Drosophila melanogaster: one gene and its partners. The protein of the gene in region 1 purifies or fractionates together with the protein of each later gene. This does not show direct contact. Each region holds a gene or a part of one and is shown on either strand. Other genes may lie near its edges.

The links.
Region 2: the proteins of Not11 (region 1) and Not10 purify together in Drosophila melanogaster (affinity purification with western blotting; one study listed by BioGRID). This does not show direct contact.
Region 3: the proteins of Not11 (region 1) and Not1 purify together in Drosophila melanogaster (affinity purification with western blotting; one study listed by BioGRID). This does not show direct contact.

What each region holds. Positions count from the first base shown.
Region 1 is NT_033778.4:24,033,870-24,043,178, forward strand, and holds Not11 (CCR4-NOT transcription complex subunit 11), read right to left. Parts: upstream 3,840-9,309; 5' UTR 3,772-3,839; coding exon 3,526-3,771; intron 3,472-3,525; coding exon 3,332-3,471; intron 3,272-3,331; coding exon 2,914-3,271; 3' UTR 2,851-2,913; downstream 1-2,850. Other genes in the region: MAN1, read left to right, coding at 829-2,781; IntS1 (integrator 1), read left to right, coding at 4,193-5,510, 5,572-6,551, 6,606-9,309.
Region 2 is NT_033777.3:12,628,495-12,639,233, reverse strand, and holds Not10 (CCR4-NOT transcription complex subunit 10), read right to left. Parts: upstream 8,588-10,739; 5' UTR 8,520-8,587; coding exon 8,431-8,519; intron 8,357-8,430; coding exon 7,601-8,356; intron 7,541-7,600; coding exon 7,213-7,540; intron 7,117-7,212; coding exon 7,058-7,116; intron 7,000-7,057; coding exon 6,649-6,999; intron 6,584-6,648; coding exon 6,259-6,583; 3' UTR 6,046-6,258; downstream 1-6,045. Other genes in the region: CG11608 (uncharacterized protein), read right to left, coding at 1-498, 555-614, 670-753; CG11600 (uncharacterized protein), read right to left, coding at 1,354-1,749, 1,803-2,498, 2,553-2,681; CG11598 (uncharacterized protein), read right to left, coding at 3,032-3,439, 3,504-4,199, 4,255-4,317; CG18530 (uncharacterized protein), read right to left, coding at 4,582-4,992, 5,057-5,752, 5,813-5,875; Snx3 (sorting nexin 3), read right to left, coding at 9,782-10,012, 10,250-10,345, 10,714-10,739. UniProt on the Drosophila melanogaster protein: Component of the CCR4-NOT complex which is one of the major cellular mRNA deadenylases and is linked to various cellular processes including bulk mRNA degradation, miRNA-mediated repression, translational repression during translational initiation and general transcription regulation.
Region 3 is NT_033778.4:9,571,745-9,582,265, reverse strand, and holds the start of Not1 (Not1), read left to right. Parts: upstream 1-5,570; 5' UTR 5,571-5,761; coding exon 5,762-6,088; intron 6,089-6,147; coding exon 6,148-6,678; intron 6,679-6,733; coding exon 6,734-7,196; intron 7,197-7,258; coding exon 7,259-8,479; intron 8,480-8,565; coding exon 8,566-9,348; intron 9,349-9,482; coding exon 9,483-10,521. Other genes in the region: Smyd4-1 (SET and MYND domain containing, class 4, member 1), read left to right, coding at 1-137, 193-452; Nt5c (5' nucleotidase C), read right to left, coding at 576-780, 849-1,000, 1,060-1,200, 1,262-1,448, 1,519-1,814, 1,900-2,303, 2,430-2,691.

The DNA of each region.
Region 1 (9,309 bases):
TAAATGTATCTACAATTTAAGAAAACTGATTGGCCTCCACCGATAGTTTTGCCATCGCTTTCCAAATAGCAGATTTCGATAGGTGAGAACGCAAGCGTGGGTTTGTCTCGCGTTTGGAATGAACGGAAAAACGACCTATCGCCTGGAGGGTTTTCATGTTCTTGAACAAATTTTTTGTATGACGTTAAATAAAACTAACGATTCAAGACTGTTTCTCATAGTTTGTTTTTAGTTTCTTCGAAATCTCATACCACCCTTAACGTATTGTACATCAATTGCCACATATACCCTCTAAATAATTGATTAATTGTAAAGAAAAACCTATCGACCGACTCAAGCAGATTCCATTTCCATTCCGTTTCACTTTGTCCCACGCCGCACCCTTGACTTAATAATTTAGTATGTGCCGTGCCGTAAAAATTTGTAATCAAAATATGGTTGTAAGACTGTTGCTTTAACGTCGGTAGTTTATTTTATATTTATGTAATTTTGGCCTGTGACACTGCAAGCCCGTGGTGTGATGCGAAAGTGTTCGATTTTTATATACTAGAGTACGTGTTTAGGTATGTTATTTATAAACTGCATTAATTTCGCACATCTTCCAGTGTCCGTTGAATGGTAAACATATTTTTCGCCATTGAATAATCAGAAATAAGCGGAAACTTATTGGCCAACAGCCGACGAAATCCCTCTGCTTATTTCCAAGGGCTTGTGAAAATGTGCTTCGCTATGCAGTTATATATGCACATTCCTGTGTATGCATGTGTGTGCTGCAGTGTGCGTTTCCTACACTCTAAAAAATGTTCTTTCCCTTGCAGAGCGAGAAAAATGTCAACCGAGAGTTTGAACAGTTTGAGCGACAAGGAACTGCACAGGAAGCTAATCCAGAGCGGCTTCCCCAGCACTCCGGTGACGGAAACAACGCGAGCGGTCCTCATCGAGAAGTTGAGAAAGCACACGCGAGCCGACAAGCTGAAAAAGAGGAGCAACAAGTACGTGCTGTACTCCAAGGAGCAGCAAGAGTCGCCCCCATTTCCACAGTACCACCAGTACCACGCCCCACAACCGCCCCAAAACTACGCCAATGGCCTTGATAACAATAACGACCTGGACCAGACCGGAGGCTCCTCAGCTTACAATCGCAGTCTCGATGAGAGCGACTCAAGCCCGCTTCAGTTGTCCGCCTCCAAAATGTACGCCCCACCACCGGTTGTGGCTTCCAATTACGATGGAGACTGCTCGCCGCACAGCTTGGGGTTAAATGGCAAATACCTGCAGCCATGCTCCATGCCGTACGCCATAGACACGTCGAATAACTATGGCAAACCGAGCGGAAAAGCTAAGTTATCTGACGGAGGCGTGGTAAATAGACTGCTCAGCTTTCGGGATACCACGATCCAGCGGAAGTTCAACTATCCCACTGGCCAGGCGTCGAGAATCCCGCTCAGGAAAGAAAGGCTAACTCGGTTCGCTTTGTCGGACCTTAAATCCTTCATCAGGAATCCCGACATCAGGCCCTATGTAATACCACGAGTGCTAATTTCGCTGTTCTTAATATTTTTGACAATAATCACTGTCCTCTATGTGGGCAAGAGGTTCGAGCAGAGCCCCATCGATAAGGCCGCACTGAAGTATACATTATGTAACCCCAACGATATGCAAATGATCAGCGAAAAGGTGAATTGCATCGAAAAAGATTCGCTAAGGGGTGCGCTGGACATGAGCGAGGAACTCTTTAGGCATCTGAACGAGCGAGCCAGGCTCCATCACTGCAAAGACGCCAATTTGTCGCCCGCTTTGGAAATAGGAGAGTTTGTGCGGGAAATGGTCAGCAACCCAAAGACTCACAGGGGAAATCTGCACAGCAACTTGATGGCTGCCAAATATTTGATTACCGAGAATCCGCAGTGGAGCATCCAAGTGGTGGATTCAACGAAGCACCTTGGACAGACCTCGCACTTCGAGCTTTCTGAACCCAATCTGCCGCTCAAGTGCATTGTGTTGAAGAAAGTTACCAGGTTTTTCACCGTTATCGGTGCACTTCTCTTAATAGTCGCTGGATTTCTCATCGTGTACGTCGCGGTAGTAATATACCGAGTTAAGCAGAAGGAAGCCCTGTTGGCGGTCGATCAGTTCCAAAAGGACATAATAAACGAGCTAATTTACTTGAGCTCCCAGTCCGAGAGTCCCGAGGTAGTTATTAACCAGCTGCAGGAGAAGTTTCTGCCGGCCAAGAAGCGCTCAAAGCTCTTGTCTTCTTGGAACAAGGCCCTCAAGCAGCTGGAGAAAAACGATAGCCGTGTGCTGTTCGGAATGGTGAATCGTGACGGGAAGGCAATGCGCACAATTGCGTGGAACAGGAACGTTGACAAAAAGGATGTGGGGCTTGTTAAGAAGTGGCAGAGTCCCGCCTTCGATAACTCGAACAAGATTGCCAACCCGCCGACTCCCTGCCTGAAGATTAGGCACATGTTCGACTCCTCAGAGGTGGATCAGGCCAATCTGAAGCAGTCCATCGTGGAGTCGATCATCGAGAAGGTCGGCACGCGCTGCAAGATCTGCGATGTCCAGCTGGACGTGCAGTCCTGCTGCGTGTACATCCGCTGCGCCAGCGAGGAGGACGCCGGCACGATTCACAAAGAGATCAACGGCTGGTGGTTCGACAAGCGCCTGATTTCGATTAAATTCTTAAGACTGGAACGCTACCTGAGCCGTTTCCCCAAGCCCTCGGCCGAGCCACTTTACTTTCACACCAACGAGGCAGCCAACACTCACTCATAAAACACACAACTCTACATTAGATACTTAAGTTATTAAATGCGAATTTGTTTTACATGTACAGCTGGAGTTGTCGTATTTAATCGATTTATTATGAACTAGACTTTAAAACTTAAAATCTGCTAAACACTACCACTACTTAGCTAGGGAGTTGGACGACAGAGCGCTTTCCCCAGTTTCCAAGTGTTTGATAAGCCGGTACAGGGTAGCAGCCTCCTTGATTTTGCTGAAACCCACGCAGAAGGCTTCGATTTCAATGAATAGTTCCTGGAAAATAACAATAGAATAGTCACTAAGCACAGTCGAGGAAATGGTAGTAGCGCATACCCTAACGTTCACAATCTTGTTCCTAATCAAGGACTGCAGAAATACGCAAACGAGTCGCACCAGGCGAGACTGCATGTACTTGTCCTTGACTGTTTCGCAAGTCGAGATGCAATTGCTGATGTATAGGTGAATAAACTCAGTGGGCAAAGGTCCGGAGGTGGTTAGTCTGGAATGAGAGCTCGAGCATGTTAAAGAAGCCTTCAATACTCGATGTTTGGATTCCTACCGGTTGACCACCTCCATGGAGTGAAGTGTTATGTCCATGTTGACCAACACGTTGAAGTATTCAGTTATGTCGGAGGTCGTCATCAGTCTTAGCAAGATCTCAATGGAGATGAGAGGATTGCTTTCCACGAGCAGAGGTAGCTGAGATGGAAGCAATGGATAAGACATATATCTAGCAATGTTTTCGGTTCTTACCTTGTCCGGGGTCAGTCCATATTGGCGCGCAATGTCCGTGTTCTGCTTCAGCAGGTCGTCGAAGAGGATGTGCTGGTTCTGGAGGCTGAGTGGCTGGAGAAAAGCCTGCTCGATGAGGTGCTTTATGTTGGGGGTAATGTAGTTGGACTTGTCGTAGATGATCTCCACCTTGTCGCTGTTCGACTGGTTTATCCAGAGCAGCTCGTCCTCGAAGTCCATTAGGGGCGGGGCGATGGACAGAAACATGCTGGTGCGCTGATTTTAATTTACAATTATTATTATTTTCCTTGCAATTTTGTAAACAATTTTAGTGTGACCGCGTTGAGGGGTTCTTAAGAACAATCTGCACATGAGAGTGGGCCATCTGAAAAATGATGTATGCAAATGTGCGCCTAAGGGTGTTAGGTTACACACTTGTCAAAAAATAAAAATTAAAATATGAAAACAGTTCAATATTTATATTAAAGCCTGTTTCAAAGCTTCCATCGTTCCGAATCAGAGCAGTTGCACAGACTTCTGCATGCGTTAGCCATTGAGCCCTAGCGCCTGCACTCTGGTCACACTGCAACTGTTGCACGGCTGCAAATCGCAAAGCAAAATAAAATGCACCGCGCTTGAATTATCCATTTTATGGACAGAAAAAACCTTCACACACGAACAGAGAAAAATGGATCGCGGGAAAGGAAGCGGCTCCAACCGATCGCAGAAGAAGGTTCCGCTGGGCGGAGAACTCTTTGCGCTCGGCAAGAGCGTACGCGATGACTCCAAGTCGAAGATCCTGCCCATTAAGGGCATGTCGTCGTCGGACCGCAAGCGTGAAGCCTCCACCGCACTGGCCAGCTCGAGCAAGCGGTTCCGCGGCAACCTGAAGGACGCGGGCGCCCCGGACATGTCCTCCGGTAGTAGTCAGTGCGAGACGTGGGAGCAATTCGCCGTTGACTGCGATCTGGATACCGTGGTCGAGACCATATACGCGGCTTTGGAGCAGAACGACAGCGAAACTGTGGGCCGGCTTGTATGCGGCGTTATAAAGCAGACAACGACGAGCTCCTCGCGCTCCAAGGTGGACAACATTGCCCTTCTGGCCCTGATCTACGTGGCCAAGGTACAGCCGAGTATATTCTGCACAGACATAGTGGCCTGCGCGCTGCTTTCCTTCCTGCGGCGGGAGGCCAACGTGAAAATGAGGTACAACACCAACCTGCACATTCTGTTCGCCAATCTGCTGACCCGGGGCTTCATGGAGATTTCCCAGTGGCCGGAGGTGCTGCTCCGCATTTACATAGACGATGCGGTTAACGAGCGCTACTGGGCGGACAATGAACTGTGTGCCCCGCTCGTGAAGAACATATGCGCAGCCTTTAAAACCCGCACGCCCCACATCAGTCTCCTCCGCTGGGATGTGAGCTCGTCCCTGCCTTCTGGTCAAGCACACAGAGACAGCATGACTGTGGACGACGATTCCGGGGACAATTCCACACAGAGCTTGGATGCAAGTCCCTTAAATACCGAATCGGAACCAATTCCCGACGCTATGTGCACCACTAAATCAAGATTCAGCGATGCTGTGGTGCAGAAGCATGTCAGCGATGCCATTCGCGATCAGCTCAACAAGCGACAGCAGCAGGATAACTACACCAGAAACTTCCTAAAGTTCCTGTGCACCACTTCTGGCATTGCAGAGGTACGATGTCTGAGCATTTCCCGCCTGGAGCTGTGGATCCACAACGGAAAACTGGTCAAGTTCGCCCAGCAATTGCTCTCGTACATCTGCTTCAACATCAAGGGACGCAACACACAGGACAACGAAGTGCTCTTGGTGCTGGTGAAGATGCGGCTCAAGACGAAGCCCCTAATAAACCACTACATGTCCTGCTTGAAGGAGATGATTTTTCTGCAGCCGGAAATCTTGAGTACCGTAATGAAACTGGTCGTGCAAAATGAGCTATCCAACACCAGGAATCCAAACAATATGGGGATGCTGGGTAAGAGAAACAAATTTTTTCTTAAATTAAAATCATAATTCTTAATTTGAAACTTTTCCAGCCACAATGTTTCAAACATCTGCTGATCAATCAGCTGCCACTCTGGCTGAGATTTACCAGGAATTCTTGCTTCAGCGGGACGATTGCCTGCGCACCCTGCGCGTTTTCTTACGGGAGCTTGTGCGGATGCTGCGCTTCGATGTGAACCTGGTCAAGTTTTGCAAGACGTTTCTCAGTGAGCGGGAGGATCTGACTCCTCAAATCGAAATGTTCGAGTTTAAGGAGCGAATTTTCAACTCCATGGTGGACATTGTGTGTCTCTGCATGTTTCTGTCGGCCACGCCACAAGCTAGGGAAGCCAGTTTGTCCCTGAAAACCAATCGGGACACCAAAAACAACCATGCTCTGCTCAAGCTGTACAATCAGATGTCACAGATTCAGTTGGACACAGTGTCCTGGATGTACGAAACAGTACCCACGCTCTTCAAGATTCCGGCTGCGGAGTACCACCAGGCGCTGCACAAGCTGCTACTGCTGGACAGTCCGGAGCAGTATTCGCGCTGCGATCAGTGGCCGTCAGAGCCGGAGCGAGGAGCAATCCTGCGGATTATCTCTGAGACGCCGATTCACGAGGAGACCCTGCTGCGAATTATATTGATTGGCATCACCAAGGATATTCCTTTCTCTATCGCAAACACCTTTGATGTCCTGCTGCTGGTCATAAAGCGAGTTTCCGGGATGAAGGCTACCAATATTCCGGCGGTGCAGGCCAACAAATTCGACATCATCGACTTCCTGTTCAGCATGTCAGAGTACCATCATCCGGAGAACATTCGCTTGCCTGCGGAGTACGAGCCACCAAAGCTGGCCATCATCGCCTTCTACTGGAAGGCGTGGCTCATATTGCTTATGATATCCGCACACAACCCCTCCTCGTTTGGAGCCTTCTGCTGGGACCACTATCCCACAATGAAGATGATGATGGAGATTTGTATAACGAATCAATTCAACAATTCATCAGCCACCAAGGATGAGTTGCAGGTGCGTGCTTAATTATATAAACAAACTGGCGGTGCTACAATAAAGATTTTTCAGATAATAACCATGGAACGGGATCACATTCTGCAGTTCGAGACGTACTTGGCTGCCCAAACATCGCCGCATGCTGTTATCACTGAGGAAACTGCGATTCTAATCACTCAGCTCATGCTGATGGACCCGATGGGCACTCCGCGCAAAGTGCCCTCCATGGTCCTAGATCAGCTAAAGTTCCTTAATCAGACCTACAAGCTTGGCCACTTATTCTGCCGCTGCCGCAAGCCGGACTTGCTGCTGGACATAATTCAAAGGCAGGGCACCACGCAATCCATGCCCTGGCTTTCCGACTTGGTTCAGAACAGCGAGGGCGATTTCAGCCATCTCCCAGTGCAATGCCTGTGCGAGTTTCTGCTGTTCAACGCGCACATCATCAACGAGGAGAATAGCCGCGATGCCGAGTTAGTCAATTTCCTGAGAAACCTGATATTTGACGGCAATCTTAGCCACCAAATCGTTTGCGAGCTTTTGGACTACATATTTAGACGCTTGTCGTCCACGGTGAAGCAATCGCGAGTCGCCGCTCTTTCGGGTCTGAAGATAATCTTCAGGCACTCTGGCGACTTTGAAAACGAATGGCTCCTGAAGTCGCTCCAGCAAATTCCGCACTTCTACGAGGTGAAACCCTTCATAATTCCCCAGCTGCGAGCTGCCTGCCAGGTGGAGAATTGCCCGGAACTGATTATGGCGTACATTCAGTTCATCACTGCGCACACGCTCAACGATCCGGTCAACGAAATGCTGGATCATGTCATCGATATGGCGCAGCTGATTGTAGAGCGCAGCACAATGTTTCAGCACATTATCATTTCGCAGGAGGACTACGACTATGTGCCCGACGAGAACCGCATTCAGACTCTGAAGTGTCTTTTCGTCATGTTCAACAACTATATAATTAAGCTAAGGGAATACCACGAACCGTACGAGTGGACCGAGTATCCGGACCTGCTGATGGTTCAGTTTGACGATGGAGTACAGCTACCGCTCCACATAAACATCATTCACGCCTTCATTATCCTGCTCACCTATTCCAACAGCAACATGCCCGAATCGATACCCATTTTGGACTATTGGTTTCCGCCCGGACGACCAGCGCCCGTCGCCTTTCTGCCCAGCATGCCGCAGGAGCAGGTGCAACTGCTGCCCGACTGGCTGAAGCTGAAGATGATCCGCTCATCGGTGGACAGACTAATTGAGGCAGCTCTCAACGATCTAACGCCGGATCAGATCGTGCTCTTTGTGCAAAACTTTGGCACGCCGGTCAACTCGATGTCCAAGCTGCTGGCAATGCTGGACACCGCTGTACTGGAGCAGTTTGATCTGGTGAAGAATGCCATTCTGAACAAGGCCTATCTGGCCCAGCTAATCGAGATTCAGCAGGCGCGGGGTGCTAAGAATGGGCACTACACCGTACAGGCCTTGGATCTGCATTCCCACTCGCAGACTGTGCCAGATCTGCCCAAGATCAGTGTGGTTATTCAGGAGGCCGTTGAAATTGATGATTACGATTCTTCAGACTCGGATGATAGACCCACTAACTTCCTGGCCACCAAGGAGGTAGCCCAAACCATTCTCACGCAGCCCGACCAGTTGACTGAGTCGCGAAGTGACTGCCGATCCTTGATTCAAAAACTGTTGGACATGCTAGCAAGCCCGAACAGCAATAGAGCGGATGTGGTTAACGCCATAACAGAGGTGCTAGCCGTGGGTTGCAGTGTCACGATGAGCCGTCACGCCTGCACATTTTTAAGGACTTTCTTCAGCTGCATGCTGCACAGCGACAAGTATCACATACTGGAGAACGCTCTCCAAAAGAACTTAAGTATGTTTAAGCACACATTCGCCGACTCCAGTCTGCTGCAGAAATCCGAACTCTATCATGAGAGCTTGGTGTTCATGCTGAGAAACTCTCGCGAGATTTATGCGCAGCAGTTTAAGGCGAATACCGCCTTGGTGGCACGAAAACGGATCGTCCGGGCGATCGTCCAAAGCTTCGATCAGACCAAGGACAGCAAGACCGTCGCCAAGTCCAAGAGCGACCAGCTCTTCCACAACGGGCTCTTCATCGACTGGCTGTCCGAAATGGATCCCGAGATAGTTTCCACTCAGCTAATGAAGGAGCGCTTTCTGTTCTCAAAGTCCTGCAGCGAGTTTAGGTTCTATCTGTTGTCCCTGATCAACCACCAAACCAACTGGGACACGATCGAAAGGATTGCCGAGTACCTGTTCAAGAATTTCCATGAAGACTACGACTACGCCACCGTCCTCAACTACTTCGAGGCACTGACCACCAATCCGAAGCTGTGGAAGGGACGCGACAAGTACATGTCGAAGAACGTACGGCCGGATGCCTTCTTCATGCTGAGGACTTCTGAACTGGAGCCGTTCTCCCACTTCATCCTTCACGAAGGGCTTTCCGAGGTCAAGCTGGACAGCAAAAACTATGATTTCAAGCTCTGCTCGCGAATGAACCTACTGTTTAAGCTCACAGAGAAGCGACGAGACCTCATGGTCAAGGTAATGGAGCACGTGGAGAAAAGTTCGGTGTCCGACTACTTGAAACTGCAGGTCCTCCAGCAGATGTACATCATGTATCCGCGCATCAAGTTTCTGAAACCGGGCAAAACCGGCGAGCAGGCGTACAAATTGCAGAATCTGAAGGGCTGCCAGGCGGACAAGGTGTCCAACAATCTGATCACCTGCT
Region 2 (10,739 bases), on another chromosome or scaffold:
GACGGGCGGGGCCAGTAGGATGGTGGTCCTGATCCGTTTATTGTACTCCGGTCTCATGCTGAGCATCACCAGCATGGATGTGCATCCCTGCGAGTGACCCACATAGTGCAAAGAGTTCCGTTTCGTGGAGGCCAGGATATGGTCAACAGTGGCGGGCAAGTCCTCCATTCCGATTTCATGCCAGCTAAAACGCCAAAACTGCAAGAGCCAGGCCTTGAGTTTGAGATGCTTCCTGGAGTACCGGGTCCCGCGACAGTTTATCAGCCACACATCGTAACAAGCATCGGCCAACAAAAAGGGCAGTCCATTCCGCGGTCCAGTTAGAAGCCATGAGTCCGCGGAGCCAGTCATGCCATGGTTAATCAAAACAACTGGCTTTGGTTCGCTACTTGCACATAGCTGTGATGATGGGATTCGGAAGACCGACAGTATGTAGCCATCCCTGGTGACCACAGTGTGTGTTTGCACCGGATAGTTGTGACTGCTTATGATGTCCACCTATAGGAAAAGGGATTACTAACGCTTTCAACTGGAGTCAACTTCAACGTACTTACCGCAGTTATTACTTTTGTGCGATGATGAATGCGGTGAAGCGAGTGATTCTTCCAGTTCACCTATAAAGCGTCCTTTTGGTAATATCCTTACGTTTTCTTCAACTATTGCACCTACCTCAGATAAGGCTGTGCTGTTCGATAGCCACACAAAAAAAATTCCAAGCAATATCGGCAGCATTTGGATGAGAAATGACTGCATTTTTCATGGATGATTGTAAGAAAAGGCCGAACTAATCCGTTTTATTTATTATTATTTATTATTTTTACAGAACTGCAACTTCATTTCGTATCTGACATTTGTGCTAGTTTTACCCGTTACTCGTGGATTAAAATGTGCAAGGTAGATTGTCTTTGGGACATCATTTATCTCGGCCCAAAAGTAGGCACGTCGATTGGCCATTTCTGAGGACGAGATAAATATTAGCCAAGTTGTGGACTTGTAGAGCCTACAGATTAGATGCAGAAGTACTTCAAGACGCGGAAGCACCATCGATGTATGCCATCGTTTTGATAATGTATACATTTTACATTATTTTTATACACTTACATACATGTAAACTGCTTGCCAAGCAGTGCGTAAAGGAAGAAAAGTAATCTAAAGTCGCAGGCAGATTATGGAAAAAATAACTATATATACTAATGCTAAGGAACAGTTTTTTACACAATATTTATTTTGGCGTCATGAAAACATAACAATAAATATATATATAGTTTTTTATTTTAGACTATTTAAGTAAAGACTTTGCAAAAAGATACCATGATTTAATGTAGAATATTCCTACATTCCTAATAGAAATGTCTATTGCTGTCTATTCTCAAAGTGATCAATAACTTTGATAATTGGTTCATTAACAACTTTTTTGATTAATTTGGCGAACAGAAAGTCCGAGTGGCTCCATTTTTCAAAAACAACGTCATGCAACACCGCCTTGTCCAACTTGCTGATCAGTATGTGGATGTCTTTGCGCGCCACCAAGTCGTCACCATGGCTGTGGTATATATGAATGGGCGACTGAGGGCGGACGTTTTCCAACGGATAATCGGGAGGCGTGTCCTGATTGTATAGTTTTTTATTTCTCATGACTCCGAAGTCATACGGACGGAATTTTCCAGATTTCCGGAGTTGAAGAAAGTGCTTTGGCTGTCGAGTGGAAATCGCACCAGGATGCGTTGCTAATATCAATGGTATGGCGGTCTAAAAATGTTAATCAAGGTACAATTTGGAAGTTGGAATACATTGTGGCTTACATTGTTCATATACGATGTTGGTTCTTCACTGGCCAATATGAACATAAAGGCGCACAATTTTTTAAACTTCGAGCATTTGCAAAAAACGGATAGCAGGAATCTTATAGCATCTAAGGGGCCAAAAAAACTACTGTCCTTCATGCTCATAATGATGTTCCCAAACATTTTCATTAGCTTGTTCCTTGCGTGCTTCATGAAAACGGCGGGGGCCATCATGTTGGCCGTCTTTATCATCCGGTTATACTCCGGCTTCATGCTGAGCAAAACCAGTAGGGTGGTGCATCCCTGAGAATGGCAAACGAAGTGCAACGCTTCCTCGTTTGTCGTGGACAGGATGTAGTCGATCATGGCGGGCAGGTCCTCCATTCCCATTTCGTGCCAGCTAAAGCGCCAGAAGGCATCCTGGGAAGCCTTCAGCCGGATGTGGCGCTGCGAGTAGCGGACTCCCCGGCTGTTGCTCAGCCACACGTCGTAGCAGCGATCGGCCAGCATGAATGGAAGTCCGCTCCTCGGTCCCGTCACCAGGAAGGAATCGGCCAGGCTGATCAGTCCGTGCTGGATAAGAACAGACGGCTTGAAACCGTCCTCCTTGCAGTTGGGTGATGAGGGAATCCGAAACATATCCAGAATGTATCCATCTCCAGTGCGAACCGTGTGCGTCTCCACTGAGTAGCCGTACTTGTCTATTATAAGAATCTAAGAAAACGGTCTTCGAATATGTGGTCCCACCTAACAATACCAGCTACTGACCCCAGTAATCACTTTGATGCGGTAATCTTTACCACGACCCGTAAAATTTTGGAGGCCAAACTTCACCTTCGGCATACCAGAGACGATCAACAGCCAGTCAAAGAAAATCACGAGCTCCATCAACAACATATTGCAATGGTTTGAATTGATTGATTGTAAAGAGATGTTAAGAATAGTAGAACTAATTTGCAATTTACCTTGCCGAACGACATAGCCATAAGAAAATTCAGTTGCGCTATAATCAAATAACATAAAATAATGAGAAACAATTCATGCATAAAATATAACATAAATAATAACTTTGATTTAAAGCTTCATATCTCAAAAGCTGTAAGGAAGTATATAAGTGACTAATGCTGAAGAAGTTGTGAGAGTGTAAAACAAAGGCATTTTAGCTTCAATGAACATTCGTTTATGAAGTGAAAGGTTATTTTTCATTCAACATTAAAGACATTCATCATTTCATATGGAAACTACTTTCATAAAAATGTAGGACTGCTGAGTCGCTCAAAGCTTCTAAAAATTTCAATGACCGGCTTGTTGATTACGTCAGCAACGGTCATGGAATGCACGAAGTCCGTATGGTGCCAGCCCGGTGTTGAGATCCGGTGCATCACCACCTCCGGCACTCTGGCGGCAAAGTTTTGAATATCCTCCTTTGCTGTCGAACTATCATCGTCGCTGTAGAATATGTGGACTGGCGTCAGGGGACGGACGTTGCTCAAAGTATAGTCTGGAGGTTCTAGGCTCTTGTAGTTGATCAAGTTCCTCAGGATCCCGAAATCGAATGGTCTGAACTTGCCGCTGTCCGTGAGCTGGATGAAGTGCTTGGGCTGGCGAGAAGAAACTCCCGCAGGAAGCGTGGCGGCAATCAGAGGAATAACGCTCTGAAAACAATGATATTTTAAATAAACTTATGTATAATATTATATATTGTCTTTGTGCACTTACTGTGTTTAGGTGTTTGGAAATTTTTCCGTTGGAAATCAAGAAGAAGGTTGTGCAGAACACCCTGGCAACGAATAGCCCGCATACATTACTCAAGAGTTTGTTTAAAACTCCGTTGTGGTACATGAACTCCTTGTCGGGCATGGCCATTATGAAACTCCTGAAGACGGTCTGCGAAAGGGTGCTTGTGTGGCGCATAAAGACAGCCGGAGCTAATAGGACTGCGGTCTTGACCAACTTGTTGTACTCCGGTCGCATGCTGAGGAGCACCACCAGCGTGGTGCATCCCTGCGAGTGACCCAAGAAGTGCAACGCTCTCTGCTTCGTGGTGTCCAGAATGTAGTCTATGAAAGCGGCCACGTCCTCCGTTCCAATCTCGTGCCAGCTGAAGCGCCAGAAGGCCTCATCAGAGGGATCCAAAGACACGTGGCGTCGGGAATACCGAGTGCCCCTTGAGTTACTCAGCCACACATCGAAGCAGGCGTCGGCCAACATGAATGCCAATGAATCCTGAGGTCCGTTTAGCAGGAAAACGTCCGAGGACGCGGACATTCCGTGCTGAAAGAGAACCGCCGGCTTTGGTCCAGATTGCTGACAAAATTTAGAGCCCGGTATCCGGAACGCGTCGAGTAAATACCCATCTCGTGTGAGCACTGTGTGTACTTCTACCGGATAGTTGTGCGAGGCTATAATTTCGGACTTTGATAGGAGGATTTAAAAGACATGAACTACGACTAATGATGCGTGTGCTTACTGTAATTAGTCCCTTGGCAAGGTCAATATAGAGACAAAAGAAGACAAACGCTTTGTACGACATATCGAGGAGGAATAAGTGAAAAAAACGCTGATATATGAATAATATTTATCGGTTTAACGTTAGATCTAATCTCATTTATACATTTCATCAAAAAAAAATCAATATGTAACGCTTTAACGTAAAATTTTGTGGGGAACTCTCTAGGTAATGCAGCATTTTACAGCTTATCATTAAGTGAAAGATGTTGTACATGAAAGAAAACCTACTCTTCCGTAAAAGACCGGACGTAGTCGATAATGGCGGGCTGGTACTCGATATTATTTATTATAGACTTCCTTTACAGTCGATAGGTTGCTCAAACCTTTTAAAAATTTCAATGACCGGCTTGTTAATCACATTAGCGACGGTCATAGAGTGCACGAAGTCCATGTGGTGCCAGGACGGCGTGGAGATCCGATGCATCACCGCCTCCGGCAAACTGGTGGCGAAGTTTTCAACATCCTCCTTTGCGGCGGATAGGTCATCATCGCTATAAAATATGTGGACTGGCGTCAGGGGGCGGACGTTATGTAGCGGGTAGTCGGGAGGTGTGAGGCTCCTGTAGTTGATCAAGTTCCTCAGGATCCCGAAATCGAATGGTCTGAACCTGCCGCTGTCCGTGAGCTGGATGAAGTGCTTGGGCTGGCGGGAAGAAACTCCCGCTGGAAGCGTGGCGGCAATCAGAGGAATCGCACTCTGGAAATGTTAATGTTCAGAATAAATACAATATATATTTTGACCATTCGACTTTGATACTCACTGTGTTCAAGTGATCTGAAAATTTTCCGTTGACGATCATAAAAAAGGTCGAACAGTACACCCTCACAACGAAAAGCCCACAAATTCTCCTCAGTATTTTATTCAAAATCCGGTTGTGGAACATAAATTCGCAGTCGGGCATAGACATTATGAGCGTCCTGAGAAAAATTTGTCCCAGCGTGTGTGTGTGCCCCATAAAGACGGGCGGACCTAAGAGGATTGCGGTCTTCACAAACTGGTTATACTCCGGACGCATGCTGAGTAGCACCACCAGCGTGGTGCATCCCTGTGAGTGACCCACGTAGTGCACCGCACTTTGATTTGTGGTGCCCAGAATGTAGTCAATGAAAGCGGCCACGTCCTCCGTTCCAATCTCGTGCCAGCTGAAGCGCCAGAAGTCCTCATCGGAGGGATCCAAAGACACGTGGCGTCGGGAATACCGAGTGCCCCGCGAGTTACTCAGCCAAACGTCAAAGCAGGCGTCGGCCAACATGAATGGCAATGCATCCCGAGGTCCATTCACTAGGAAAACATCCGAGGAGGCGGTCATTCCGTGCTGGAAGAGAACCGCCGGCTTTGTTCCAGATTGCTCGCAATAGATTGAGTTCGGTATGCGGAACGCGTTGAGTAAATACCCATCTCGTGTGACCACTGTGTGAATTTCCACCGGATAGTTGTGCGAGGCTATGATTTCGGCCTTGGAAAAGAGAGCGTAGCACTTGCCTATAGCTATAATTATCGACTAAAAAGCACTTACAGAAGTTATTCCATTGACTATTTGAGTACAGACACTCAGAATGACAAGCGTTTTATACGGCATTTCGAGTAAGAGTAACTTGCACAAGTCAAAATAATTCTGACCCAACTTTTAAAATTCCTGAGATAGATACTTAAAATTTAAGTGTCCAACGCTTTAACGTAGAGGGTAATCTAATTTGTAGAATTCCTATGAAAAAGTCTCAATGACTGGAGTATGCAAAAGTTCAACGTAAAATATTGTGAGATAATTTGCTATTGCCAACACCAATTCTCTGTGTACAAATATATAAGCACATATGGATTAGTTAACAGACATTGTTTTATACACCTTGTTTGCACCCTGTAAAATGCTGAAAAACTGATGATCGTCAAACAAATAGTTCGCTTCCTCGTCATTTCATTCTTGCACTTTAATTCCGTCTAGTTATATACACAATTTGTTGTCTAACTCGGCGTCCCGCCAGGAACGGGACCCATTTTGAGGTCCATGAAGCGTCGCAAAGCAAGCGCCTTGTTGGCAACCAGCGAATGAGTTAAATTGGCCAGGAGTGCTTTAGCTTGAGGCAGGTCGTTCTGTAGAGCCATGGCAACGGCCAGATTATACCGCACAACGTTCTGAGCGGCGTCCACCGACTTCAGTTGCCAGTCACGCGTCTCAAAATCGAAGGCGTTTAGTGTGCCCACAAAAGTAGGGTCCAAATGGTCGCGTGCCTCGCTGGCCTTGTCCATAAGCATCAACGCCTCGCCAGCGTACATGTGACCTAGCAATCTGAAGAAAAAAAGGTAAATATGTTAAACCAAACATGGGAAGATTAAATAGAAACTGTATTGTACTTGTGTGCATCGGACAAGCGTTCACAGGCCAGCAGTTTTTCCGACATCTCGAGCGCGGTCACATGATCGCCTAGGCGCAGCGAGACGAAGCTGTGAGCAGCATATATGGCAGCCATCATGTTTTCCAAAGACTCTAGGCTGACTGGCTTCGAGGGATTGCAGAAGTTATTGTCCTGGGGATGACGCCAACTCTCCTGAGTTGGGTCCTTGGGTTCGGGTGCTTCCACATCCTCCGAGGAGACCGCCGCCATGTGAAACCTCGTCTTGTAGTGCTGCGTAAGCGTTAACGCGCTACGTAGACACAAGACAGCGAATTCCAGCGTGGGCTCTGGAACTCCCGCCGATTGAGGACTAAAATTAGGAAAAGTTTACTACCAGCAATGAACTAAGCTAACGAATTAGCACTTACGCGTATGGCTTTGTTGATGGCGTTTCTGACTGCGACTGGCGCTCCTCCTCCACTAGTTTCTTTAAAACAAAATAAAATAATTTGAGATTTAAGACAAATAAATACCCTATTGTGACTCTATTGTACTAGAACATGTTAGTGTAAAGTTGTCTTACCGCCTCATGCTCCATGATGCAGGCCTCAGCCATGCGCAGCCAAAGACGTGGATTGCTGTGGAATTGCTTAACGGGAACCAGAAAGCACTGAAACGCCTCCTTGGGGCGTCGTAGGTGCAACATGGCCACACCGAGGTTGTAAAGGATCTCGCAGGACCGTGCCGAACTCATGGTTTGCAGCGTACTCTGGCGCAAATTTCGCGCCAGCTGCTGGTCAAAGTTGAGCGCATTTTGGAAGAACTTGGCGGCGATGGCATAGTGACGCACTCTTAAGTGTATCACTCCCATATTGTTGGCAATGCACGTGCTCAGCTGGGGGGTTATAGTGCTATTAAGATAGACAATAAAATAGTATGTCTTCTTTGAACTTAAAATGAAGCAGACTCACCCCGCTTGTGTACACTCGTTATTGATTCGCATAAGCTGCTTGGCGGCCATCTGAAAATCCTTCATGATGTAGTACTGCTGAGCCTTCAGAGCAGCGTACTCCGGCGTGCCGTCTTCCTGAATAACCACCGGTTTTCGGTTAAGCACGAGCGTTATTAGCTGCAAGAGCTGCAGACTACCGCCCAGACCGGGCACAGCTCCCTCCACAGCTGCTCCTCCTGGTGAGGCCACCACTGAACTGTTCGTCGCTGCTGACGGAGGTGCTGTGCCGACAACAGCTGCCTCTTCGGCCGCATTGCTGCTAGGCGCTGTGGCCACCAGGTTAAGCTTGTACTGCAAGTAATCCAGAAAGGCCTCGGCTCGGTTTAGTTGATTGGTGGCCAGCAGCAGCTGTAGCTGTAGTGTGGCCACCAGCGCTGCCATTGCCTTCTCCAGGGCTTCCAGACGAGCCACTAGTGGTGCTAGTTTCTCCAGTGCCGTGCCGAACATATGGCGGTGATAATAGATGACCGCCCGGTTGTAACGAGCAACAGTGGCGGCGGCAGCTCCCTGCTTAAGGCTCAGCCCGCTGGACACGTCTCCGGGCGCATCTGCATCGGCGGTTAGAGCCTCCAGTTCTTTCAGCAGGACGGAGTGTTGGGTGCACCCGGTTTTGTAGTAGCTGACCACCGCCCGGTTGTGCCGCAGGACAGGACCACTGCTCTCGCCGCGCGTCTCCAACTCCTGGAGCAGTTCCAAGCAGCGATCAAACTCCGAGCTAGAATGAGGAGCAGCCGGAAAGGAGTGGCGGTTATGGGTGCACTTCCCGGTGACACGCGGATGAACACTCACTTGTTGAACTGCTCGTGCGCCTGGCACAGCAGACTGTAGTTCTCGTCCTCGCCGGCCTGCGTTTTGGTGGGGGATTCCGCCGAGTCCATGCCAAAAATAAATAAAAACAAAAAAACCGAACCAATCCACAGATGACACAGCGTTGCCAGAATCAACAAGCACAGCGTTGCCACTTTTAACCGTAACTAAAGCGGTTAACCTTATTAATAAATAAGTTAATTCTTAACATTAAACAACTTGTTAAATTTCTTGTTAATTTATTAATTAAAAATTAAATTGTTAATATGAACAAATTAAAATATATTCTATATAAAATTTTAACTTTACAATGGTCAAATTGGCATTTTGCTGTCGATAGGTGGCAGCACATCACTAGTCTAGATTTGCAGCGCGCGAAACCTATACCTTTATTTCAACTGAGACTTTTGTTTGTGATGATATATAATATTTAGAATAATAAAATATCCATTTATCGTTTACAATTTTTGATCCACCTACCCACCCAACTGTAATTATCCTTGCATTCAATCGAAGTTTCCTGTTTCATCATATTGTTATTAATCCTCGCCTGGTTTATATGATGGGAACTACATAGATTCAACATCGACCAGTTGAAGAACAAACTTCCATCCCGCAGAATTGGCTAGGAAAAAGGCTAATATTTTATACAAAACTCAACTTAATCTTCAGTTGCGCATCATTTTCAAGCACATTCAAATAATATCAGCAGTTCAATATTTTTGAATTATTTTAATTTGATTCGAAGTACAATATTATTCACTAAACTGTTTCAAAATATTCAATAATTTGCATACACTTACAAGGGATCGATTTTGGGGTCAGGATGGCTCCCTTATTTTATTTGCTGCTTCATTACCGCTGCAATGGTTCAAAACGAAGAAACTGAGGATCGGGAAAATGGGAGGGGCAGCTCCTACTTTCGAGACTCATTTAGCGAGGGCGTAGTAGGCATGTCTTATGTACACTATTCGTAAATATGTGTATTGTGTATAATATATATATATGTGTATGTATATTGTTATGTATACCATATAAACTTGAATTTAGCATTAAAAATTCCCAATGCTGGTTTTTAACTAATCCCCGGGGGCTGAGAGGGGCTCAACATTAACTGAGCAGCAGCACTTCCCGCCTCGTATCGCGTCGCATAACAGATCCCTTCTCCACCAACCTACATCATCGCTCATCTGCTCCATCCTCCTCCAATCCGGGCAAGCACACACATTCACACGGCTTCCCATAAAGATTTCGTAGCAGGTTTGTTCGTTCGAGTTTTTGCTTCATTGCATTGCTATGGTTAGGGGGTTTCGATTGCGCCGGACTAAGCTGCTTATGTGTTCCGAATCTTGCCGGGCACGTAGTTCTTATCTATGACATTCTCCTGCAGGAACATATGCAGGCAGCGCTCGTTCTGCGCCAGCGGATGTCCGGCTATCTTGTTGATGAAGGCCTCCAGTCCCTTGCGCCGCTCCTCGATGAAGCTTTCGTCAAAGATGCCCTCGTCGCCGCGGAAGGGCATCTGCCGCTTCCATGCCTTTCCTGGGAGTGGTGGCACCACAATCTGCGGGGATATGTATGTTCATGATTAAATACTCTTCAGGCGCTTATCGAAGTTTCCGTTTTCACTTATAAAACTCAGGGTTAAGTTTCCTCTTAAGGATTGAAACTTTTCTAGTGGCTTCTTATAATTACAATGTATTGTTTCGTAATTCTATCTAAATAGATTCTGAATAGTGCGGATTTTGAATCTATTAAAGTGAAAACGAAAGACTACCGCCTGGATCACACTTGTCCGTACCTTGCTATCCCGCTCCAGCTCGTTTCGCAGCCACTCAAAGTCGCTGTAGCGTCGCCTGACACTGGACTCCTTTACCTTAAAGACGGGCAGATTGGTCTAAAAAAGGAGCGATGGTTAATCATATGTGGTGGCCAATCTTATAGAGTAATTCAATGAAAGGTCGGTGCCGCATAAAGGCACCCGCATGCCGCATTTCCGTGACTCAAGCCGTGACACTGGAATCAGTGCTCTGCACTTGTGACTAATGTTTATCGGCCGGCTCGCTTTATAGGCGTATCACCCGCACTCACACACACACACACACACACACACGCACGCACACACACATGCACAGCGAGACAAAGTCGCACGAACACATGCACACAAGTGTGTGAGCGAATTCCAGCGATTATCAATGGTTTTTTCGGTGAATTTTGGAAGGTGCATAGGTGGTGCCCCCATGTACATGTACTACGATCACTCACCCGCATCCGGACCTCGTAGTCCGTGT
Region 3 (10,521 bases), about 14 Mb from region 1:
CAGCAGTGCCGATTCGTCAAAAAGGCAGGCGCTGTTCAAGGCATTCGATGATCTAGACAAGTGGCTTGTGGATCACCACAGCTTAAAAAGAATTATGGCCGAGGAACTGGTAACAGCCTGTTTTTATGAGATAGATGGTAGGCTACGGCTGGATTTTGTTACGTCGTAATTTATAAACCTCTACTTAAACAGGAGGCACTTCATTGGATGAGTTTGAGTATGAAGATCTGGCGAGGATTATCCGCAAACAGCTGGAAGGCATTGCTGCGCAGTGTGGCGATAACTCAACGGAATACATTGCTCGCATGACCTATTTGTGGGATATCATAGCCCAGAAGAAATGCCGCACCGATAGAAAGGAACTGCTAGAGATGAAAGGTAAGGTGGATTATCTGGCTAGCGAGCATCGCGAGGTTTTCTTGAACTATTACAACGATTTTATTGAGCAATAATGTAAATAACGATATACACGCATTAAATTCGCTAGTTTCGAGCTACAAGCATTAAACACTGGCACTTCTTGTTACCTACAACTAATCTGAGCTTCCTAACGGGCATTCGTCCCCACAAATTCTCTAGATAAAGTGGGAGGCATATTCGTGGGGCATTACACCCCGTCGGGGATAAAAGGTGTGGGTGGTGGAGAACTTGAGCAGGTTGGTTATGTCGCTGGTGTAGATGTCGGCAAAGCGGAAGAGGCGTCTTGAGAAGTAAGTGGGGTTGTGGTAGGTGCGGAAAACGCTGCCAAACTGCTCGTTGAACACGTTCTTCGTTTTGTTGCTGTCGAAGATTGGATTCGGATTTAGAGATATTATCGTAAGCCACTAGATAAATGTATATTTTCTTACCGCAACTGATCCCGCTCCTCCATCCACTCCTTTAGGCAGATCTGCGCTGCCTCGCTATCATCGTCCTGGGTGTCCTCGATGAGCTGCGTCAGCATTTGCAGCCAGTTGGCGCTCATCTTGAAGTCCTTACGATTGAGGGTTTTAATTTCGTGCTGCAATACGAAAATACCCTTAGAGGCAATACGATAATTGCTTGATATAAAACACCCACAGCCAGTTCGCTAATAATGGCTCCTGTCCTCCAGCTGTGCTTCAGAGTAACATCTGCTAGGTCGCTGTACGGATGATCTCCGAAATAGAGCACAGAGTGACCACGCCAGCCCTTCAGCTCTTGAAGCTGTCTCACCGAACCCTGTGAAGAACATCAGACAACAGGGTTGATTACTAACCAAGTGGGAATGGGAAACCCTTACCTCGTAGTAGATTTTTCCCTTCTCCAGCTTGAATACCCGATCCCATAGGTGTGACTGCGTTCGCTCGTCGAATAGCCTTATTGGTCGAGATTCATCCGTAAAGAACTTTGGTTTGCGGGCCTGCACGATGACCACATCGAAGAAATCACGCCAGTTGGCGCCGACCAGAAAGGACATGCCACAGTTTCTACAAATGCAGACATAACGATTTCGTAAATTTTAATTGTGGTAAAATAAAAGATGTCACATTCCCTTACACAAACGAGTACGGGCTATTGGTGACTAGAAAGAGATTCTTGCCCGCCTGCTGCAGCTTCTCGAAGAACTTGACCAGCTTCGGGTTTCGTTCTATGTACTTCTCAGTGTTCCGCATCACCTTGCCGTGCATAATGGGATGGCAGGAGCCCATGGCGGTCCTGGTGTCATGGAAAACAATCTCTGGATTGTAGTCGATTCGATTGCGTTCAAAATATTCGATTACATTGCACAGCAGGCACATTTCAGGTACAGAAAACAGGTCGGCCAATTGCACCATTTTGGAGTTGGTGTTATGCTGTGCGAAAGGAGATCGTAAATCACTGATTGCTAAACACAAAACCCAAGCGTAAGCCGCCAGGTGATAAGATATCGATACGAACCCTGTAGCTATTGTTCGGCCCCTCCACGTAGGCAATAGGCAGCAGGCGGTTGTGGTAGAGCTTCAGCACCTCATCCGCCTCCACTTTGGTACGTCCCCTGTATACCGAGCCCAGCTGTAGCTGCAGGAAACTGTCCAGTTTCACCAGCAGCCCCTTTTCCACGTCGTAGTGCAGGCCGCGTACCGCAAAGTTCGGTTCGTACTCCAGCTGGAGGATGTCCTCCGGGTAGCGGAACCTCTTCACCAGCATCTCGCGAGCCAGATTGTACAGCAGGTCCTCCAGGATGGGCTTATAGCAGGCCAGCGTGTAGTCGTAATCGAATCCGTACACCTGCACCTCGCTGAGATCGAGCTCGTTGCAGGCGAAGACCGCATCTGGATGCACATCGGAGGGCAGCTTCTTGGCTGAAAATGTCAAGTGGTGCGAAACGGGAGGGTATGTTACTAATGGGACCACTTTGCGGCTGGGTATTTATAGATCGTGCACATACTACGCATATATGCATATGCCTGCGACTGGTTGAGGCTTACATTGGAACTTCTTTTTGGTGGCTTCGTGAAGCTTTTGGAAATCACTCACTGTTTTTGGGTGCGAGATCTGGGCGGTTGCAGCTGGAGCGGAAGCTCCAGCGTCCGACGCGAAAGCGCGCGCCTCGAAACTATAGTTTGGTTTGCACGGCGAGGGGGACAGGCTGGAGGAGATGGGGTCCCAGCTCCGGAGGACACCACCAGCTCGCAGGAGCACATTCTGCCGAAGGAGAGCACTGACGATGGGACTGCCTGCCGCGCACATTTAACTGACTGCTTGCTAAATTGCCAATTAAGCCCGTTTGTTATGTACACTATGTGGGGGCGGAGTGGGCTGCATGTGGATGGGGCGGGGTGTGACCGGACGGAGGGCCCCCAAAAAATACCGACTCGCGGTTGGAACTACTGTGGCCATATGCATATTCAAATTATTGAACCCAACATTTAAAAAATTGTAAATATTATATAATAGGTTAATAATAAATTACCTTTGCGGAAACATCTTTACGATAAACATTAAAATAAGAAGTTAAAATTGCTTGACGCTACAAGATTAAGCAATTGTGTTATTCTTATTTATTATTGATATTTATTTATTAAGGCGTAATTTATGTATTAGCATTTGAATTTATTGTATATTTATTACTAGTTTAAATTTAACGGAAAAACATCGGCTATTTATCCGTTACTAATCGGCAAGATTTGCCGCCGTTTTTGGTAATTCAAAAGAGTATTACAGCTTTTCTGGTATAAGTTCCACATGGCGTTATGGATTTCTATATTTTAATCACAAACCCGTGATTTGTAACACTATTCGTTGTGAGTGCCAAGCAGTAGTGACTGAACTATCGGTTGCTGAACACGCTTCCCAGGGAATGCAAAATTTTCATTTCGGCAATAATTAAAAAATCCACGAGTGCAAACAAATTTGAAGTAATTTTCCTAGCATACATATACAAACGAGCCCAAAAGCTAAACTTGAAACACCAAAGCAACCGGAAGGAAGTGGAAAAGGAGGTCGACGACGATCAGCCATATATTCTGCCTCAATTGCCCGTGTGTGCGTGCGTGTGTGTGGTAGTAGTAGTATTTTTTCATTTCTGTTTTCGCTGTACGTGCGGATTGATTCATATTGTTTCATTACGTGAGCTATTGCAATATTGTACACACTGGGCCGAGGACATAGCCAATCGGATTTTTCTCATGAAACCATTAAACCGAGTTTAATGTTTATTTGATTTACGCGTAAATAGATGCCGCCTGCAATGTAGAGCTGCTGATGGCCCCTTTTATACGGGGGCCGCGGCCAATGAATCTACAGACCCAAAAAAGAACAAAAAAAAACCAAGGAAGGCAGAGACAAAAACAAATTGCGCCGTAGGTGAAATGAAAAGCGCCAAGAAGCAACAGCGAATACGTCAAATATCTCTAATCTCCAATACCAGTGCACGCTAAACGTGTGTGCTGAACAAAAAATTCTGGTGGCCTCCAACAAAAACAACAGCAACAAGAAACATCCGCTGAGGAATTGACAACTGATACGTAGAATTATGAACGTAGAGAGCCAACTGAAGACACCGCCAACGCACATTCGAAATCTGGTCAAGCACGTGAACAAGCGAAATTTTAATGAGAGCAGCGAGCAAATAAATCAGGTAGGTGCCCAAGTTATTCTACCAAAGTTTCCATGAACCATTTCCAATTCATTTTGTCAACAATAACAACAACATTTTGTAGGGGGCGGGGGTTTAGTGTTGCCAAACCGACAACATATCGCACCTGGCCAACCAGAGTTGCCAATTGTTCGCACTCACGAATGGGCTATTGCCATTTCACTCGCTCGTGCATTTTTGCCGACGCCATTACAGTTTTTTGGTAAAGGCAGCTGAAAAAATTTCTCTGCACGGCGTTGCGCGTTTTGTGAGCGTTTTGTTTAAGCTAAAAGTTTTATAGAATGTGTAAAACCAGGCCAATTGTGTGCGCTTAGCCACAAACGTGTTTCGTGAGTTGATGGCAGTGTGAATTTTGCAGCGTAGTAGTGCGAAATCGAATTGCGAAATTCGAATTGGGAAGCCCAAGCCAAGCGCAGGGCTTTTCGGCCCCGAAACTTCTGTTTTTTCATTGCCAAACGAGAGAAACCAAATTGAATAGTAAGTTCGTGGGACAAATTGCGTGGGAATATCAATTGCGGCCGCTTTCTTTTCGCTAGAGTTGCAATATGTCGCACTTTTTCCTGTGACCCCCTTCCTTTCGCGCACCGTCATGCTCTCTTCTCTCCTTACCCATGTAACGTTTCGCCAACGTGTGCGAGCGAGAGGGCGCGTGTGTAATTTGTTGTGGAGCAGCTGCGACGGCGGGGCCAAAGCTGTTGTCTCGCTCCCCCGTTCGGAGTGAGGCCTTGATTCCGGACTCCGAGCTCCGGATCAAATATTTCAACAGTTTTGGATCCGTAGGGAGGGAGGGGGATATCTAGCCTCCTAGAAAAGTTTTGCCATTCAAATTAGTATCATAACAAATACTTGGCTTAGAATGGCACCATTTGCCCAACAATCCCCTAAAAAGTAATCGTTTGTGGGACAAACTATGCTACAGATCCCGTTTTCTTGACAGTAAATGGCATATTCCTCAAAAATTAAAAAAAATGATAAAAAAAAATGATAACAAAACAGAGTCATATACTTCAGTATTTTGAAATTCTCAACAATCTATATCTGCCATTTAAAAAGCCTGATAAGTTTTCAAGTTATTCGAACTCAGTAGGATTACCAAATTTTCACTGATATTCAATGTTGGAATGAAGTACTAGGATAACCCAACGGAATTTATAGTAAGAAAGGTCTAGGAATTTGTTGGATTCCATGGAGAAATTATCGGATAGAAAATACATTAACTAACTTAACGATAGCCCAATTTGAGATATAGTCTTCCATTTAGTTATAGCATTCAAGATAATCTCAGAAACCTGTGAGCCCAACAATGGTGCACCTAAACTGGAATTCCCAATGATAAAATTCATGTTTTAACCCTCTGGTTGCGCTTTTAAAAAGCCAATTGGGTAAAGTTTTTAAGCGGGCAAGAAATAATGACTTAATGGATTTACTTTTGAAAACAGTTGCCTGGAGTTAGAAATAATCCCTCCAAAATGTTACTTTACATCTTGCCCTGTATCCGTAAACACATATCCAATTGTACAGAGAAAAGTTGAGACACTCACAGAACATAATAGAACCTGTCAAAATTTCCAAGTTTGCGATGAAAATCACATAAAAAAAAATCCCGGTCACCGCAGAATCTGAGGAATCGTTTGAAACATACACTGTCCCTTATACAGTGATATGTGTCCCAGATTGCGGGCAGTCGCTGTCAAGGCACTTATATTGGCTTCCAAACCCTACGCAATGCAGCTCTTTGATTCTAAACCATACATTACTGATAGCATTTACGACATCTTGCAGTTCGTTAAAGAGCACGGCCTGGAAGCGGATCGCAGCAGCCTGCGCCACCTGTTCTCCGTGATCAACTTCAGCGATCTCGTGCCATCAGTTACGGTCCAGCTGCAGGCGAAGCTCCTGGGCATCCAGTTGGAGCGTCAGCTTCACAGTTCATCGTTTGTGTCCAACATCTGCTACGCTTTTGACCAGTTCTTCGCCAGCAACCAGAAGGTAAGTTGAGTTTACAATGCCCACAATGTGTTGATTACTTATGGATACTCATTCCTAAGCAGTCCCTGAAGCCTGTTGCGGTAGCGGATCTCGTTGGCCAGGTCGCCCGACTGACCGGCATCAACAAGGTTTGTGAGTGCGTCTTTGCCTTGGCCTTGACCCACTCCTCGTACACAGAACTCAAACATTCTGCCAGGAACAACCTAAAAGGTAGCCTCAGCGAACTTATAGACTCTTACTTGGGTAATAAAGGCACCGGCCCAGCCGACAGCGGTCTCCGGGAGATCTCCTTCGATCTACTGCAGTATTTGTTGTGCTGCCTTAGCGAGTACGTACAACCGCAGGTGGAAGCACAGTTTTTGATCAAGCTTCGTGAGGAGTTTCCGCGCCAGGCGGTACCGCTGGTTCTAGCGCCGTTCCTTTACGGCTCGACGACGGCGACGATTGCGGGAGCAGGTGCCAGCGAAACGGATGCGGAGGCCGAAGCGACGACTAATAGCAACAGCTCCAGTTTCGAAGCAGATGCTTTGAACGAGGTGGGAATCGAGGATATTTATGACCATTTAAGCGAGATAATATTCACCAACCAGGTGCGTAAGACACTCATTGAAAAAGACAATTCGCTAATTGAATGTTGTGTTGCAGGGCAAAAATAATATTATGGACACATCTTGGATTAATCTAATCCTTGAAATCGGTTATGAATTTACATCGAGCGTTGAAGAGTGTAAGAATCATTTGTGTTCCCGCGAGCGAGAACGCGCTGAGCTCCAGTCCAAAGATGTCGCCAAGATCGTGGGTCTTATGTGCCGACGGCACTCCTCCCTGCTCGATTGTAATGTGAATCTACCGACGCCGGCGAACTTCTGGCCTGGTCAGGGACAGGGCGGTGGCAGCAACAGCAGTGGCTCTTCGCAGACACAAATCACTCCGCAGCAACAGAACCCGGGCAGCAGTAACAACAACGATGGCAGCGATGGCAATTCGTCCAGTGATAAGAAGGACAAGAAGGAGACGACGGAGGCCACGCAAACTTGGAAGCCAGATGTCTTTGTGCAGGCGCTCAAGGAGGTGGTGCCTCAGCTCAACTGGAAGGACGTGTGCATGGGTAATAGCTAGATAATTGCTTCGCAATCGCCAATCTATAGGAATATCATTCTTAATTTTTAGAACTTGATCATCCCGAGTTCGTGCTGAAGGATCGCATCGGTTTGGAGCTTTTGCTCACCATCCTTCGGCTGGCCACTGGCTCTAACATATTTCCACATCCAGAATGCATTTACCGTCACTGGGCAAACACGGAAGGTCAGCTGTCGCTTATCGCGACAATGCTGAAGAACCCGGATCTCTTTTCCTTCGCCGACTTTGTATTTAGCCAGCCAGCGTTGGATGTGCTTAAGACGGCTCCGGATGCGGACAATAAGGAGATCTCGTCCTGGAAGTCGCTTCACCTGGTGGAGGTGCTGCTCTCCATTGCGGACAAGGGATACTATACGCAGGTCCATGAGCTATTCAAGTTCCCAGCGCAGAACTGTCCCGATGTGCTATTTTTGGCCTTATTGAACACAAGTCCGCCTATGACGCCACTGCGTCAGGATCTGTTTAACCAACTGATACCAACGTTCCTTGGCAACCATCCCAACTCGAACGTGATCTTGGCCAGCGCCTGGAGCTCGAACAACTTCCAACTTCGTTCCAATATCATGAATGCTATGTCCGAGTGGTATCTCCGAGGCAATGAGTTCGATCAGGTGAAACTGTCGCGCATCCTGGATCTTGCCCAGGATTTAAAAGCGCTATCAGCGCTGCTCAACGCCCGTTCATTTTTATTCATTATCGACCTGGCTTGCCTTGCCTCTCGGCGCGAGTACCTGAAGCTGGAAAAGTGGCTTACCGATAAAATTCGCGAACATGGAGAGCCTTTTATGCAGGCTATAATCAAGGTTCTGCACCGCCGCTGCCCGCAGGTTATCAACGCAAAAGTGCCAGAGGATCAGCTGCCTCCCAAGCAGGCGCAGCTTTTGCCCGAGACAGTTACCACCATGATCAACTGTCTGCAAACGTGCATCAATAACTGCATGCAGCCGGAGATGGTCGAAGTCATCATGCAAATGACCGCGAACGTGGCGATTATGGCTAACAAGGCGCGTGCCCAACAGCAGCAGCAGCCAGGATTGGTTCCGCCGCCTCCACCAACAATTCTGCGCGGCCATCGTGGTATGGATCTGCCTGGAGGCATAGTCCCTCCGCCACCGCAGCAACCGTTCTCCGGAAACCTCAACGCGCAGATGTTTGGACCAGGAATGGATCCGCTAACGAATATGTCCAACAACTTAGCCGGCCTCAACCTCAGCGGCCCGAACGGAGCATTTAATTTTGGAAACATGCTAAGTAAGTGGCATTCATAGGCAATGAGTGCATAATCTATCACAGATGCCTCTTAATCCTATCTAACGAAATTCTACGTGCAATTTCAGCTTCTCCATCGCGTCTGATGACTCCGGGAGCCAATCCCTATCCGCTGAACCTCATGCAGATGCCGCAGGCTCCGCCACCACCCAACGTAGGAAACCTAGGCCGCATGCTGCCAGGGGGTCCACAACAGCAGACTCCAACGCCGACTCCAACGGCCCCCAATCCAAACAACCCTGTGATGGCCGATCTCCAGATACCTGTGTCAAAGGAAGTTGAAGACGAGGTCAACTCATACTTTCAGCGCATCTACAACCACCAGCCGAATCCAACGCTGTCCATCGATGAAGTGCTGGACATTTTGCAAAGATTTAAAGAGTCAAGTAACCGGCGCGAGCAGGAAGTCTTTTTGTGCATGCTGCGCAATCTGTTCGAGGAATATCGCTTTTTCTGTCAATACCCAGAGAAAGAGCTACAGATTACTGCGCAGCTATTTGGTGGCATTATTGATCGTAACCTGGTGCCCACTTTTGTTGCACTGGGCCTTTCTCTGCGCTGTGTCTTGGATGCCCTCCGCAAGCCCGATGGATCTAAGCTTTACTATTTCGGTGTGACGGCACTGGACAGATTCAGAACTCGATTGCACACCTACAACAAATACTGCGAGCATATCCGCTCCATTCCTCACTTCTCTGACTTCCCGCCGCACCTTATTCAGTATGTGGAATACGGAATGCACGGCCAGGAGCCGCCGCCGCAGAAGTTGATTGGACTCAGCAATACGATTCCTTCGGCGATATCTAGCGGACCAGGAACGGAACCAATTTACAGGAATAGCTCCATGTTAGGTAATTATGATTAGTATACAAAACAAGTCGATTAATATAATTAAGTAAGAACATTGGATACTAAGGAAAGCGCTATATTATAAAGAATCAATTTCCGCAGAGAATAACGTTGATTTCCACTCATTCCTCTGTAGGTAATATGCCCGCTGCCACCCCGGGATCGGGACCGAAATCAAACGCTGCTGTATCGCATGCCACGAGAATGAAGTCCATCGCCAATGCCACCAATATCGACACACTTTTGGTGGCCAACCAGGAAGAGAAAGTGACTGTGCCACCAGAGCCTGTGCAGGACAAAACTGCCTTTATTTTCAACAACTTGAGCCAGCTGAACATACCGCAGAAGTGCGATGAGATAAAGGAGATTATGACCAAGGAGTATTGGCCGTGGCTAGCGCAATATCTGGTCCTCAAACGCGCATCAATGGAGTTCAACTTCCACACACTATATTACAACTTTTTGGATGCCCTTAAAAACGGCGAGATCAACCGATTCGTAACCAAAGAGACCCTACGCAACATCAAGGTACTCTTGCGCTCCGATAAGGGAGTTATTAATTTCTCCGATCGAAGTCTGTTGAAGAACCTCGGACACTGGTTGGGCATGATGACCTTAGGTCGCAATCGCCCCATCCTGCAGTTGGATCTGGATCTTAAATCCCTTTTGGCTGAGGCTTACCACAAGGGCCAGCAGGAACTGCTTTTTGTGGTTCCTTTCGTAGCCAAGATCCTTGAGTCATCCGCCAAGTCTCGCATCTTCCGATCGCCCAATCCATGGACAATGGGTATCATGTACGTGCTTGCTGAGCTTCACCAGGAGCCAGACCTTAAGCTGAACCTGAAGTTTGAAATCGAAGTACTCTGTAAAACACTTAATCTGGAGTTGGCCAAGTTGCGACAAGTGATCTACCTGAAGGATCCCAATCGAACTCACCGGATTGAAGAGCAGATGTCGCAACCAAAACCGAAACAACTTGAGCCAGTGGCTTCTGCGCCAGCTCTACCGCGTGAACAGCAATCCCCGGCACAACCTCCGCCACCACCACAACAGCAGCAACCACCGCAGCAGCAGGTACCTCCACCGCCATCCTCTGCGGACGTGGACGCTCAAAATGCGGCCGCTATGATGATGGCAGCGGGCGGAGCTAATAGTACTCCTGGATCGGTATCTTC